Oreochromis niloticus: one gene and its partner. The protein of the gene in region 1 binds, or shares a complex with, the protein of each later gene. Links are inferred from orthologs where the notes say so. Each region holds a gene or a part of one and is shown in the gene's direction. Other genes may lie near its edges.

Region 1 (7,486 bases):
TGCTGACATGTGGCCAACAGTAATGTTTTAATGTTCTTCATTATAAAAACATTTGCGCATAAATAAGTGACATAATATTCAGTACTTACTTCTGAAAGTTTACTCTTTGGCGGCTCCGCTTCCGCCGTTTTTTTCGGCAAAATTATCCACACCACGGCCGCGCTATGAAATCTGGGATATGTTGGGCCATGACGGCTACACCGACCCATCCTTAAAATTCAGGGAAATTAAGGACGCATTTGAGGGCCGCATTTCGAGCAGCCTTTGAATTGGGACAGCCTTCGTCGTTTCGCTGTGACATAATCGTCCTTAAAATGTCGCCTTTAAGGCTGCAGACCCTGAATTGGGATAGAGCCCAAATCCGGTCATTGGTACTTCCTGGCTTGTGTAGTTACTAGGTAACGAAAGCTCAACACTGCCCCTAGCGTCCTGGAGCACTTCCGTTGTGTTTTGGAATTTGCAAGTGTTTTGGAGTTTGCATGTGTTTTGGAGTTTGCAAGTGTTTTGAATTTTGCAAGTGTTTTGGATTTTGCAAGTGTTTTGGAGTTTGCATATGTTTTGGAGTTTGCAAGTGTTTTGGATTTTGCAAGTGTTTTGGAGTTTGCAAGTGTTTTGGATTTTGCAAGTGTTTTGGAGTTTGCATGTGTTTTGGAGTTTGCAAGTGTTTTGAAGTTTGCAAGTGTTTTGGATTTTGCAAGTGTTTTGGATTTTGCAAGTGTTTTGGAGTTTGCATGTGTTTTGGAGTTTGCATGTGCTTTGGAGTTTGTACGTGCTTTGTCTCTAGGGGCCACCGTACCATCATGCCACCCGACACTGATCCAAATCTCATTTAAGAACAAGAGTTATGAATTACAAGCAGGCAGCTTTATTAACCTGCTAGCAGTAAGCTTGAGCTGTCTGCACATGCATAATCTGTTGTTCTGGGCCAATGCCATCAGTAGTTCTTATACCCAACAGCTTTCAATAATTAAGCATCTGAAAGTCATCACCAAGCACTCCAAATGACATATGCCTGGCATTTGCCCTTTTTCCTTTCTGCTGTAGACTTTCATTGACTCCCGTGTGAATACAAACACACACGCAGGCAAGTGTTCGTATGTGCCATGTGCCAGCGCTGGTGTTAGTGACAACATGTGCAATAAGTCAAAGAGTTTCTCTGTTCTCCAGGGAGAGCAGGACACTTTCTCACCTGACTATGGACACTGCTGTTATATACAATCTGACTATAGGCTCCCTTGAGAAGCATGACTAACATCTCATAATCAAGTCCACGACACACAGCTAGAGGCAAAACAGAAACAGAGAGCGTAGGAGTGTGCGGGAAACAACGTAAATGGCACGACACTCAAGGTATTTAAGTGCCTCTGGGGAATAGAGGGCTGGAATGTAAAGAAGAGTAGGAGCAGAAAAGAGGAGCGTGCTTGAATGAAGCTCTGTTAGACCACTGTAAGCAGTTATGAATTTAACGGCAAATGGTGACAGAACCTGCACCTGTGTCTGACGACGTTTGTGAGAGGGAGGGATAAAATAAATACCGCACATTTAAGCACATGTGTACACGTTTGTGCTCTCTCACCCCTTGCCCAGCAGTCTGCAGACCACTGTAGCATCTTCCTCTCCCCAGTCGTTGCTACAAATAGACCCCCACGTTCCCCCAAGGTACACTTCGACCCGGCCGTCTAGCTTGGAGCGGCCACCTTGCAGACGGACGGAGCCTGAGATGGAAAGACGGTTGGAGAAAAGTAGATGTAAAACTATATGTGATGTGCAAAAGAAGCTTTTTGGGGAACATTGAACTTAAAGTCTGTGTGTGTGTGTGTGTGTGTGTGTGTGTGTGTGTGTGTGGTGGTGCTGGTGGGGGGGTATCTGATAAATCATCAGATATACTAACAGGTGTTTTTGTGTATTTTACCACATCAGATGCAAAAAATAAGACTAATGTAAAAAAGTGAAATATTACAGAATGCAAAAGATGTGTCTGTGACTGTTTTTAAATGTGACACCTTTTTATATTTTCTACCTGCACAGCCTTTTCCTTCAAAAATGGAGAGACATGTTCCTCCTGTACTGCCCCACAATGCAAATCATGATCTAAATATTTATAACCCATAAGATGAATAAGATTAATATAAAATGAAAAAGCTGCATTTTTCTGATTTATTTGATTTATTATTTGCAGTTATAGTCACTCGGTGTGTGAGCATGCATCAGGGTAACCTGGTTGCTTTACATTGTAAAGTAAGAAGCTTACAGCGAATGCCTCAGTCCAAGTCCATGCTAACACACACATACACACACACACCTGGCGTCCTGTGGCTCTCTTCCTTGTGCAATAGTAAACACACTGAATCTGGAGACCTCACTTACAGCCATGTAATTGTTAAAACGTTCAGTAACAGACACCAAAACTGTGATATAATACAGCTGCATATGGTTAAAAAAAACAGAAGAAGCTGAAAACACAAATGTTTTCACATGAATAATCACATTCACACTCTGGTAAACCAAAGGTATGATCACCTTTAATTATTCCATGGGTGGATGCTCTGTGACTCAGCTGCACAGCACTGTAAAAACACATCTATCTACAGCTGCTCAGCCTATACAAAAATGTACATTCCATTCATATTGGCCTTGCTGTAGCATGTCTTGAATCCTGCTCGTCTGGGGATTTCACCTTCTTCTAGGTTTAATATTTGTAGCCACGTTCAACAATTTCGAGGCTGTTAATTCCTATAAAACACAATAAAGCTGCTGCTCTGTAGGCCTGCGTGTTTACCTTGTTTACAGTCGCAGTACCCCCAGTCTACTCTGCCTCTGTGGTTCCTAAAAAAGCACCAGGGTCGGATTCGGCCGTCCGGGTTGCGACAGTGGTTGTGCTCGCCTATGCCTTTGCCCGGGTAGCGCTCCTCGAAGCCGGCCACTTCGGTCCAGTTCATGCACCGGGTACCGGACTCGGTGACGTCTATCGCTCCCCGGTAGAAGCCGTCTTTTCCACGGCTTCGGGCGCAGTCGGTGAACGGAAGGATGAATGAAGGGACGCTGCTGGCATAAAAGCAGCAGCTGATCGCAGCCAAAAGAACGGCTTTTAAAACAACAAATGGCACACTCATGTTAGGGCTATGACGGATCCTATCATCAGCTGAGGGTTTCCACGCATCCAGTCAGCCTCTCGCCCAGCCGTGGGACGAAAGTGAGAACGACGCGGATCGATGAAACCCCCTTTTCTTTTTTGCATAGGCAAGGCAGTCCTCCAACGAAAATTCAATAACATAGACTACATGATTGCTTCGACCAAACTGCAGTGTACCTATATTTAATAGGAATGGGTTTTTTTTAGATATTTTTTTTTCGCATTGTTTTATATATTTCAGTACCCTTTACTACTCATTAACCACTCGACCAAGTAGTTTAGAAATATTCTATAAAATCAAATCTAAAACCCCTCCTGACGGACAGCATTCAAATCCTCTCAAATATTAGGGCATTTGCTCTAATAACGTAAAACATGAAAATACGTGGTATTTAAATTTTAAAATGCTTCTACTTAAAAAAAATATATATATATATATATATATATATATATATATATATATATATATTTAATATTTATTAGACGGTGGTGTTCCTATTATTGCTCAAATTATACGTATTCAGTCGTTTGGAGCCGATTTGTAGGGAGTTCATTTGAGATGCGTTCTTGCAGGTGAGTTATCTGAAGCACTTGCTTTTATCATTTTGCACAATTTTCTCCTGCGCAATCTTCTCTCAAAAATGCGTACGCTTTTTCATTGCGTGTCTTTCACAACTTGAATCTTTTGTGACGGATCGTGTCTGCAGGAGTTTAACAACGTGATGTGCTTGAAAGATAACAAATGTTAAGAATGACTTCTCAGTGAACCAGTGCGTGAAAACTCAACACCAATAAAGTCAGCGACGAAATCAACGCAGTGAGGTGTGCTGGGATTGATTGTTGACATGCTAGACCGGCCTTCCTGTCAGTGGTGGATACGCCTTGAGGTAACGTGAGCGCTCTCTGCTGTGATTGGTGTTTAAATTATTAGTCGGGAGCCCTCGTGGGATCTGTCCGCTGCTGCTTGAAGAGCGAGGAGAACTAACCGTCTCTGATTGGAAGACGACTTGCGAAACGTCAGAGATACACGCCGAAAATTGTGACATCATCGCACCGCGTCCGTTCAATCACAAAGGGGTTCACTCTTTAATTAATACCGGCGTACACCGCCAATCGCTGAGACAGGCGGTAAATCACTCTTTTCTTAAGACCCAATCATTGTTCATACTATGATGGTTTAACCAATACAGTTAGGCATAACTGTATAGGAGCCAAATACACATGTGCCTTTGACTCTCATTTTGAACAAACTCCACCTGCTGATGGGCAATAAAGTGGCACGCATAGTGCCTGTGCGTACTGGTGTCGAAACCGATTGCACCTATCGACTTTTCCATTTTTTAGCGGTTATCCCCCATTAGCCGGTTGCTAGCTGTTGTTACAGATAGCAATAAGTGTTATATGAACATATTTTATTTACACCAGCCGCCAAGGGGGTTTAATACTGTGTCAGAACCCGGTACATAAGACGCAATGAACAGCCGTCTTCAAGAGATACGCGAGAGACAAAAACTTAGGCGGCAGCTGTTAGCTCAACAGGCAAGTACACAACGAGCCCTCCAGCTGCCTGTCAACTTACCTACATACCTAACGGATTTGTGTTAATAACGTGGAGCTAAGCGTGTTATGTGCAAAATGGATTTTCAGATAGTTTTCCGCCCAATACACCGATGTATGGGTGCCGATAACAAGCCTACCCCTTTAAAACATTCAGAGTGGTCGCCCTTGAGAGGAGCAGACTCGGTGTACGTCTAAATAAAAGATTTGAGCGCATTGAGGAGCCATTACAATTATCCGTAACGCTATGGAGTCACGTACCAGCAGTACAAAATACCAAGGGGTGTTTTATTAAGCACATGTTTCGTCATAGTTGGCACTGTATTGTTAACAGAACACAGGCAGGAGGGACTTTATATTTACTTGCTCTATCGTTACCACAGCTGGGAGCTGAAAGCGCAGACAGCATCGGAGCAGTCCTACACAGTAAAGACGAACTAAAAGAGATCGAGGAGACTAGAGAAACATGCAGGTAAGCTATAGTGTTGGTACTGTTCATGGTGGCTGTGGCTCAGGCGGTAGAGAGGACCATCCACCAATCACAAAGTCTGTGAATCATTCCTCATCGCCACATGTTGAAGCATCATTAAGCAACATACCCCCCAAGTTCCCCTGAACCGTTAAGAGTCCCAGTCCGTTTACTAAACTGCAGAAATCCTCAGAAGCATTTTTCTCTTTGGGTTTACTGCATGCACAGTCTTTTTGTCATCTTATGAGCTCCGTGATGTCATTTTTTTCAGTACCAAATGCTTGCTTTGGGACTAAGGAAATGTTGAAATATAGAGGTGTATTCGTTTTCAGGGCTTCATATGACAGCACAGCCCCATCTTCTAAAAGGAAAGCACAGACAGAAGGAGAGGACACAGAGGAGGATGTGGAAGAGCAAAAGGTGAGTGTAACCACATAAATGTTGAGTTTATGAGATTTGGCACTATATAAATAAAACTGAATTAAAAAGCCTGGATGTGTCAGGAGGAGTTAAGTATTGTGACATTGTGCCATAGACAGCAATAACATATGCTTAAAGTGGTGGAGCTTATGGCAAAGCTATGTTCAAAAGTGTCTTTATCTGACAGTACAGTTAAAATGGTCACTGACATCAGTAGTGACGACATAAAGGCTCTTATTCTACAAGCATCAATACAGGAGTGCCTTGAAATTTGGCGTGACTTGTACACAAAGGCTTGTAAAGGTCTGGATTAGAGGACAAAACTAATCTGCTAATCTCTTGTCTGGTAAATGCTGTCTTTGAGCCAGAGTTTGACTTTGCTCTTTTGCATGACTATAATGACGTAAATACAAATGACTTATGAAAAAGGTGGAAGTATTAGATCATTTTTCCATTTAATACTTTAAAGTATTTTTAACACTACAACCCATTAAAGGTTTTAACAGATTATATCTTAAGGTAATGAATTGTATGGTGAAGTATAGATTTACAATCGTAATTTCAAATAAGTTGGCATGCTGTGTGTGGTAATAAATTGAATGAATAGAACAGAATAAAGTACAGAAAACATGTAAAATATTGAAACATTTTGCTATTTTATTAAAACTAAATGGTTAGCCCAGAGATGGATTGGCAAAATATGATAGCTGGGATAGGCTCCAGCCCCCTGTGACCTGCAACCCTAATAAGGATTATGGAAGGGAATGCATGGATGGATGCATTTAAAAAAAAATGGCCTTATGGAATTTATTGGCAGCAACACATTTCAAATCTCACTGTTGGATGCTGGTGATGTTACATGGTGCTAGACTGCATGGGCTCCAAACACTTCCAGTCTGTGAACAGAGCTTACCTTGGACTGTAGAGCAGTTGAGACGTGTTCTCTGGATTGACAAATCATGTTTTTCCATCCGGCACTCCCCTGGATGGGTCTGAGTTTGGAAGTTATGTAGAGTCCAGGTGCTGAACTGGTCTGCTTGCAGTCCAGACCTTTAACCAATTTAAAATATCTCGAACATCATAAAATGAGACGTGCAACAAGGAAGACCCAGGAGTGCTGAGCTGCTAAAAGGCTATATCAGATAAGCCTAGCAGCTGGTCTCCCAGACATTTACAGACTCTTGTTAAAAGAAGACGGGGTTCTACACAGTCCGTAAACATGGCCCTGTTCCAGCGTTTTGGGGAAGTGTTATTGCCATCAAATTCATGATGACCTATTGTTTTTCTTAAAATGGTACATTGTCTCAGTTTCTGCAGTGAATAAAACATGGGTTATGAGATCCGCAAATCATTGTATTCTGGTTTTATTTACATTTCCCACAATGTCTCAACTTTTTTGGAATTAGTGTTGTATTTTAATATAGTGCAAAATGCATTGATTCAGATGTGTTAGAACAAATGTATGGAAATGTGGACAGATTTAATAGGCTGACAATGTCCCATCTCCCTCTTTGATTTCCATCTAACTGATTTAATGTTTTTTGTACATTTGTGTCTTTGTCTTACTCTCCATATTAAACAGTGGTGGAGTTTATTATAGTTAGCAATTCTCTTGTTTTATTATGCAATTACATTCGGCTGTATTCGTTTGCTAACCACATGTTTGTGTTTTAGGATGAGTTGGAAGTGCAGCAACCAGATGAAACCAACCCATACGAAGAGGTGTACAAGGACTCAAGTACTTTTCTTAAGGTTGGGAAACTCTTTCTTTGCATTCACAGTCTCATTTATGTGGACTTGCATAACCTGTTTCCACACAAAGTATCCAGCAACTTTAAGACAAAAAAATGTTTTTGAATGGACGTCTAACATTCCTAGATCTACAGATTATTCAACAGATATGAGAA
Region 2 (7,293 bases), on another chromosome or scaffold:
AGCCTAAGCACAAATGTTAAGGGAACACTGCCCTCTTCTGGGAACATTGTAAATAGCAGCAGTATGACCAGATGTAGGCATAAAACCTAAGATTTTTCAGCTTGACAGAATCGTGAGGTTTATGTGACCTTTGTTAAGAAATCAAGGTACTTAATGCCTGGATTTAAATCTTGATTGGACTGAACTCATCTTGGGTGAAACTTTAAAGTATTAGACAGGAGAGGAGAAAAAAAATAAAACCTACACACAATACAATGTTGACATCCATCTTTTAACACCAACTGAGCTAAAACGCATTTGAAAACATGAGCCTCAGTGACCAGTATTCAACACTGCCCTATAATGGGGCCATGAGGATTTAAACTAAATAAAGTATAGAACTGCATTTTTAACTCCAGCTTCTCTTATAGCTTAGAGGGGGGGGGAGAAAAAAAAAAGAAAAAAAAAAAGTGAAATTTTAGAATCTTACAGGTAATGAAAAAAGGAAAGAAAGAAGAAGAATCAAGCTTTTACAACTGTTTTATTACAATTTCTGATTTTTATTATCATACAGCAAATACAAGGACTGCAATAACATTGTCTGATTTTAGTGTGGCTTAACCTGACTGAGACAGCTATCTGAATATGCACTCGTGTTATCTTACACCTGGTATGCCACTCATAAGATGTGAGAATGGCAAAAGCCAGCTTTGATGTTAAAGTTGTCCATTATTGTGCGCTTTCAAAATTACTAGCGGTTGAGAACAGACCAGAGATAAACAGTACTTGCCCGCTAGCTTCAGCTTTTTCACGTACAATATATGTACCAAAAAAAACAAAACCCAAAATTATTTTAAAGACAGTTTAAATGCCAGTTACGTCTGAAGGTTTGAACTGTCATAAGTCTGATTTTTTAAATTCTGATTCAATGCAGGCAACTACTGTTTGATCCAAGTCTTAGTGGTTGCTGTGCATCAGCTTCTACTTTTTGGCCATCTGAAGACGCTCACTCACGTTCTCCCAGTTGACTACATTCCAGATAGCCTTCACATAGTCAGGTCGCACATTCTTGTATTGAAGGTAGTAAGCATGCTCCCATACATCAATACCAAGGAGGGGAGTGAGACCTAAGTGCCAAAAAAATACATACAAAAAGGCCATGTGGCAGTTAGATGGCCAAGTCGCATTTATTCAATTTAGTTTTATTTATATGCACCAAATCACAAAAAGTCCAACTGACCTGTTGTCCCCTGCAAAGGATCCTGGTTAGCACAAGCAGCAATGCGAAGTCTTCCACTGTCCTTGTCAAAGCCAAGCCACCCCCAGCCTGAGCCCTGTACAGCCACCGTAACAGCAGACATCTTCTCTTTCATCTTCTGAAAGGAGCCAAAGTCCCGTTTGATTGCCTCCATTAGCTCTCCTACAAAGTTGTCAAACAGATGTGTATGCTTCAGTGAAATGGCACAACACATAAATTTCTTGGTTGGAGTGTTTTCAGTGAAAGAAATGTTGCACTTATCCAAGTGATGATACAATTCGGTGACTGCAACCATTCCCCCAACTCTGAATAGTACTCATGGCCACTGATCAAATTTCATGACAATTTCCATATTAACAAAACTGAGCTTTAAGCCAGTTATTAGGAAATGGTGCAATTTTCAGTCATTATGTAACACTAAAAAAACTCTGCAACCATATGAATCAACTTTTCAGCAAGTCATAAAATTAAGTTGCACATTCAATAAGAGTCAGCATGTCTCAGAGAAAAACCAAGTGATCTGATTAAAGACAAACAAGTTGATTGGCCATGAGTTGTCTTAGTCTGGTCATATACCGTTTTTTGTATTTTTGTGGATTTCTCTGTCTTACCTTGTGGTTCACCTCCACCATTTGGAGAGAGATTTGTCCAGAAGATGGTGTGGTTAATGTGGCCGCCTCCATTAAACTTGAGGGCAGGCTGGAGAGCAACCTGTGTTGTCACGTCTCCTAAAAATGTAAGTCAAATATACACAACATACAGCTTCTGTCAAACTCTTACACATTTATGTTTGGGGGAAAAATCTTTAAGGAAAAAAACTGTAACGTACATATCAGAATCTTAATTACAACTTCATATAGACAACTACTTTTAAAGTCTTCATTTTCAATTAGAGTCATGTGAAGTGAAATATCATGCGACTCTGCCCATACCCTTTGCAAGAGCCTCCTGATACTTCTCTTCTGTAACATTTAGGTTGTTGACATATGTAGCATGGTGCTTGCTGTGATGCAGCTGCATGATCTCTGCACTGACGTAGGGCTCCAGGGCACCATAGTCGTATGTCAGGTCAGGGAGAGTATGCTTCTGCCTCGATGCAGCTACCTTGCTAATAGTGTGGCTGAGGCTGGCTGCACACCTGAAAAGAAATAATGAAGTAATACAGCATGAAATAAGGCATGACATCATGAAAATGTCATGACATCAGCAAGAAAACTGTAATTCAGTTATTTAGGGATACAGAAATTGAGATGTACCAAACAGAACTACTTTTAAACTATAGTTTTCTTATCAAAGAGTAATTTGCTAAGGAGCTATTGACAGGGCTGTGCAACTAAGCCGTACCAAATTACTTCCCTGCAGGGTATCAGAGGTAGGATTTTTAGCTTACTTAAGCAACTGACCTAAATGTCTGTTGTTGATACTGGATTTATGCAGCTCTTGAAGCACAGTCATCTACATATTAGTTCACTGAACACATGATACTGGCTCAATATTAAGACATTCGGTTCATAACTTCATGCACGAGCTCATAACAGGATGATTACGCGTTTAATAAACAAAACCCTGTATTTAGTGCGCCATAAGCTAACCTAGCTGAGCTGCCAGTTAGCATTTCGGTTAGCTAACTGCTAGCTATCAATAAGCAACTGTCACGTTCAAGAACAACTGCTGCTAGCAGAAGTCAAGAGCCCCGATTCCGTATGCACTCTGAGCACAGTACACGCACCAAATACTCAAGTGACAACAATCTTACCTGCGTATTTGTCCAGCTCTGCAAAGCATGTTCCTAATGCTGTTCAATGGACAGAATGAAGGAATACACACGCTGATAACAACTGCCCTTGAAATGTGCAATTTCAAGTTGACAGAGGAGGCGACCGTACCATTACATCTATGCTGTGGGGGTGTCCGGGAATTGGATAAACACAGGAGTCAAGCGGCTACATGTGACAACGACACACATTATTAGAGACACTTGGCAGATGAGAGAGACTGTATTAAAAACGCATCCCGATACTCTGGAATAATAATAAACAAAGCTCCTTACCTTCTGTATTATTTTGCAACTCCTCCCTCTAGTAGGTTTTCCGTAGCTTTAAAAAAGTGCATTATATCACTGTTATGAAAAAAAAAAAAAAAAATTCTTCTCGTATATTTCATTTATTGTAAATCTATTCACTCTGTTTATTTATTGCAAAACAAAGCATATATTTAAAGGAGTAGTTCTTAATACATAATTAATACAAGCATAATTAAAAAAATAAAAAAACTAACAGCAGAGAGTCACGTGAACGTTCTCCCCACAACAGTGGAGGCAATGGCGGAGATCGTCTATATTAAAATAATGGCGCACTAAGAAGCAAACAACGCTTGCTTAAAAGGGAAAACCCTCAGGTTTGAATTCAGAACACGGTGTCACTTCTGGTGGACACTAAACTGAGAACAATTCTAGCATGCACCAGAAGTGTCAACTTCATGGAACAACAGGAAGTTATTTCTGCAACAGAAATAAAAAAGAAAATATGGCTTATTATTTCACAATTTCGAGTTATTTTTTAGTCTTTTTGAAGTCTACATTTCAAGATCCTAAAAAGAAACACTTCTTTCTTCAACAGCAGAAACAAGTTTCGGTACAACTCACAGTCGATGATGCACCAAAGGCTAATGTCAAGGCACACTAAGGATTTCTCTACTCTAGATTTCTTTTATGAATTAATTCAAATAATTATGTTTATGAACACTCATAATAATTAAAAAAGTATTTCTTCAAACTACTCCTACCAATAGTACAAAAGGGGGAGCTTTGTGCTGTGTATATATTTAAATACATTTGTTAACATAAATACATTAGTTAATAATTAAAAACATCCATTCATACAAACTAAGGCTAAAAATAATACAATAAAAATAGCAATGCGGGGATGAATTCATCAAAATCACATAAAAAATATCTACTGTTTACTGTTATTTGAGGGGTACATTTTATGATCTTAAAATCGCTGCGGAGTGAGAGGTCTCGCTCTTTGCCTCTATCTGTGCTAGAACTCTGCAGTAAGGCAAGTGCAGCGCAGCGCCCAGCTACAGCCATTCTGTTTAGTCGACCGCGAGGAAGATGCTGTTGACCACGCCGAAGCGAGACGACTACAAATAACTTCCCCATAATTTTTAACCAAGTCGCAGGTTCTCGTTTCACAAAGAACCCCTGACACCAAGAGGATCCAGAAACATCGAAAGAAACTGATCTGGTAAGTGATTTTTCTTTGATGGCTGAAGGCCCGATATCTGCCACCCAGAGCCCGCTAGTTTCAGGAAAAGGAGTGCTAGGGAGGGAGTCATTTCCTTCACCGCCATTTTGTGATAACAAGGAGCGGAAAACAGATCCAAGACTTGTATGCTGCCAGGCTGGACATAGGGAAATAGTGAAGCTCGGTACTGCTGTTTCGTTACGTGTAGTTAGTTTGCTAACGGAAACAGCTAAACCTTATTAGCAGCCCAGTGTTAACCTTGGTTAGCATATTTTCCATTTCTCGCGGTCCGTTGCTGCTGCTGCTTGTCACACGAGCTAACACAAGGCTCGGCTGCTCTTATAAACTGCTAATATTAACTTTGATTTGGTTTTGCGGGATAGTTAATGTGTTCCTCACACACCATCAGGGTCATCTATTAGCTGAAAGGCACAGCTTTTGTACCGAGTTATCAGAGTTGCTGTACATTGTACTGCGTGTTGATAGCCATCGCGTTAAAACATGATGCAGTCCTTTAAGCACACAACCCCAAGCTGTAATTACTGCTGATTTCCTGTCGTGTTTTTACTTACAGGGTTCACAATGACCAACGAGGAGCCTCTACCCAAGAAAGTGAGTTTCTTTTCTTATTCTAATGTACCCCTTGTAATTTGTTATGTGTCACGACCCTGCCCACCACCCTCCAAATATTCTAATGGGTTTCTTTATGTAACCAGTGCTTGGGTTTTCGTTCACACAGGTTCGCCTTAGTGAATCGGACATGAAGACTCTGACCAGAGAAGAGTTGTGTGCAAGGTAGGTAACAGCTCTGCTGTTGGTGATTATTTTGTGGTAGGGGGAATTTGGTGTTTGTGTTTTGGATGAGCAGCTAAAACATGTTCTGCCCATCACAGGTGGAAACAGCATGAAGCCTATGTCCAGGTCTTGGAGGCGAAATATGCGGAGCTATGTTGTAAGTACACCTGCTATAAGACACGGTTATGATTTAACCTTGTCAGCATCTCAACAATCACCATGTTTTTGCCCGGTGCTGCTGTCTGTGGCAGTCAGTGAAAGGAATTTTTCTGATATGTTTTGCATTTCTGCACCGCTTTTATCGCCTCAGCCAATGACGTTCCAGGGCTGAAGGAGTCGGAGGAAAAGCTCAAGCAGCAGCAGCAGGAATCCGCGCGGAGGGAAAACATCTTGGTCATGCGACTTGCCACCAAGGAGCAGGAAATGCAAGAGTGCACAGTATGTATTTATTCCTCTAATTATGCTTGACATTCAGTTTCCATTAGTACTACAGTTTGAGTACTTGATATAGTTCTTATAGGAATATAGCCCTTCTAACATAATGTTTAAATGAGCTTTCTTTCATTAAGATTTCACCAAAAAGAACATCAGTAACTTTGTGAATGAGTAATGATGTTACAGGTTGCTATTAAACATGTCAAAACTGGGTAATTATTATGCTAAATTCTAAATTTAATAATACAAGTTTTCAAAGTGCAAAATAATTTAACTTTATTACTAAATTTAAATGAATTGAATAATTTGCAACACTCCAGCAGAGAGCTTTCCTTAGTAAACTGTCATGATCATGGAAAAGAGGCTAAAAGTAAATTATTTCAAGCCAAGGCATCCTTTGCTCTTGCCAGATTGACAGCTCAGTGGATCAAACAGCTGCTTTATGGTAGCACATGCCATTCTTAAAGTGCAGCTGAGGTGAGCTCAACGCACAGGCTTTAAACTTGGAAACCCTGCAGTCACATTGAAATGGAAAGCATGGGGACACAGTTTTCAACAGAAATACCAGAATTTTAAGCTAAATGTGTTTGAGACACACACACACACACACACACAAAAAAACAACAACAAAAATGGTTGATGTCATCATAACTTTGGCAGGTGAGTTTCATTTGTTTTGGACCAGTCTGATCTCCCCGGGCCTGGAAAGGCAACTGTCAAATGATTGGAAGTAATTGTCACTTAGAGATTTTGTCTTGAAAACTTTGTAGATGGTAGGTACCAAGTGTTGCTCTAAGGTAACATGCTTAAATTGTTTGAGTCCACATCTTTAGATAACTTTAGCAGAAAAGTTGCCATCAGAAGATGGCGATTTCCAATTTTACACATTTTGTTTATTTTTTAAGAGGAAAAACACGGCTACTGGAGATCAGAGCCAAACCCAAGAATTTTCTCTTGAACCATGATAAAACACTTGTTTATTTGTTCCTGCCAGTCACATGTGTTTGTTGTATCCTGCAGACGCAGATCCAGTACCTCAAGCAAGTCCAGCAGCCGAGCGTGGCCCAACTGCGGTCGTCCATGGTGGACCCATCCATCAACTTGTTTTTCCTCAAAATGAAGGCTGAACTGGAACAGACTAAAGACAAACTGGAGCAGGCCCAAAATGAACTGAGTGCCTGGAAATTTACACCTGATAGGTAAAGACAATCAAAATAATCCCCCTCAAAAAAACAAAACAAAACAGAAAAGTCAAGACTTCCTCACGCCCCCCACCCTCACTCTCACTGCAGACATGCAGGAACAATGGTGGGGGGGAAGGCTGACAAAGTGCTGTACTCACCACGAGATTCAGACTTTACAGAAAGCCAGTCACTCCAAAAAAAAAAACAAACCCCAAACTGTTTTTGTACTCTTGCACTGTGCCAGCTACATATCACATAACCTAAAGAGAAAAGACAGTATGGTCAGGTGACACTTGTGTTTCAGCTCTCTCCCCTCGAGTTCCCCTCACCGTCCAAGGGCCTGAAGGAGTCCGGACTGTTCCTGAAGAGGTGGTCACTCGCTTCCCGACGTGGA

What was found. The genes of interacting proteins can lie anywhere in the genome.
Region 2: mettl14 (region 1) and wtap share a complex: the UniProt entries of both Homo sapiens proteins name them as parts of the WMM complex. The link is inferred for Oreochromis niloticus from reciprocal best matches to the Homo sapiens genes METTL14 and WTAP.

Annotation. Positions count from the first base shown.
Region 1 is NC_031971.2:20,855,364-20,862,849, reverse strand, and holds the start of mettl14 (N(6)-adenosine-methyltransferase non-catalytic subunit METTL14), read left to right. Parts: upstream 1-4,424; 5' UTR 4,425-4,606; coding exon 4,607-4,672; intron 4,673-5,073; coding exon 5,074-5,162; intron 5,163-5,491; coding exon 5,492-5,579; intron 5,580-7,253; coding exon 7,254-7,331; intron 7,332-7,486. Other genes in the region: prss12 (neurotrypsin), read right to left, coding at 1,577-1,715, 2,780-3,113. UniProt on the Homo sapiens protein: The METTL3-METTL14 heterodimer forms a N6-methyltransferase complex that methylates adenosine residues at the N(6) position of some mRNAs and regulates the circadian clock, differentiation of embryonic stem cells and cortical neurogenesis.
Region 2 is NC_031980.2:12,347,304-12,354,596, forward strand, and holds the start of wtap (pre-mRNA-splicing regulator WTAP), read left to right. Parts: upstream 1-4,280; 5' UTR 4,281-4,485; intron 4,486-5,059; 5' UTR 5,060-5,067; coding exon 5,068-5,097; intron 5,098-5,224; coding exon 5,225-5,280; intron 5,281-5,378; coding exon 5,379-5,437; intron 5,438-5,590; coding exon 5,591-5,718; intron 5,719-6,735; coding exon 6,736-6,914; intron 6,915-7,293. Other genes in the region: sod2 (superoxide dismutase [Mn], mitochondrial), read right to left, coding at 961-1,106, 1,220-1,399, 1,849-1,965, 2,170-2,375, 2,994-3,022. UniProt on the Homo sapiens protein: Associated component of the WMM complex, a complex that mediates N6-methyladenosine (m6A) methylation of RNAs, a modification that plays a role in the efficiency of mRNA splicing and RNA processing.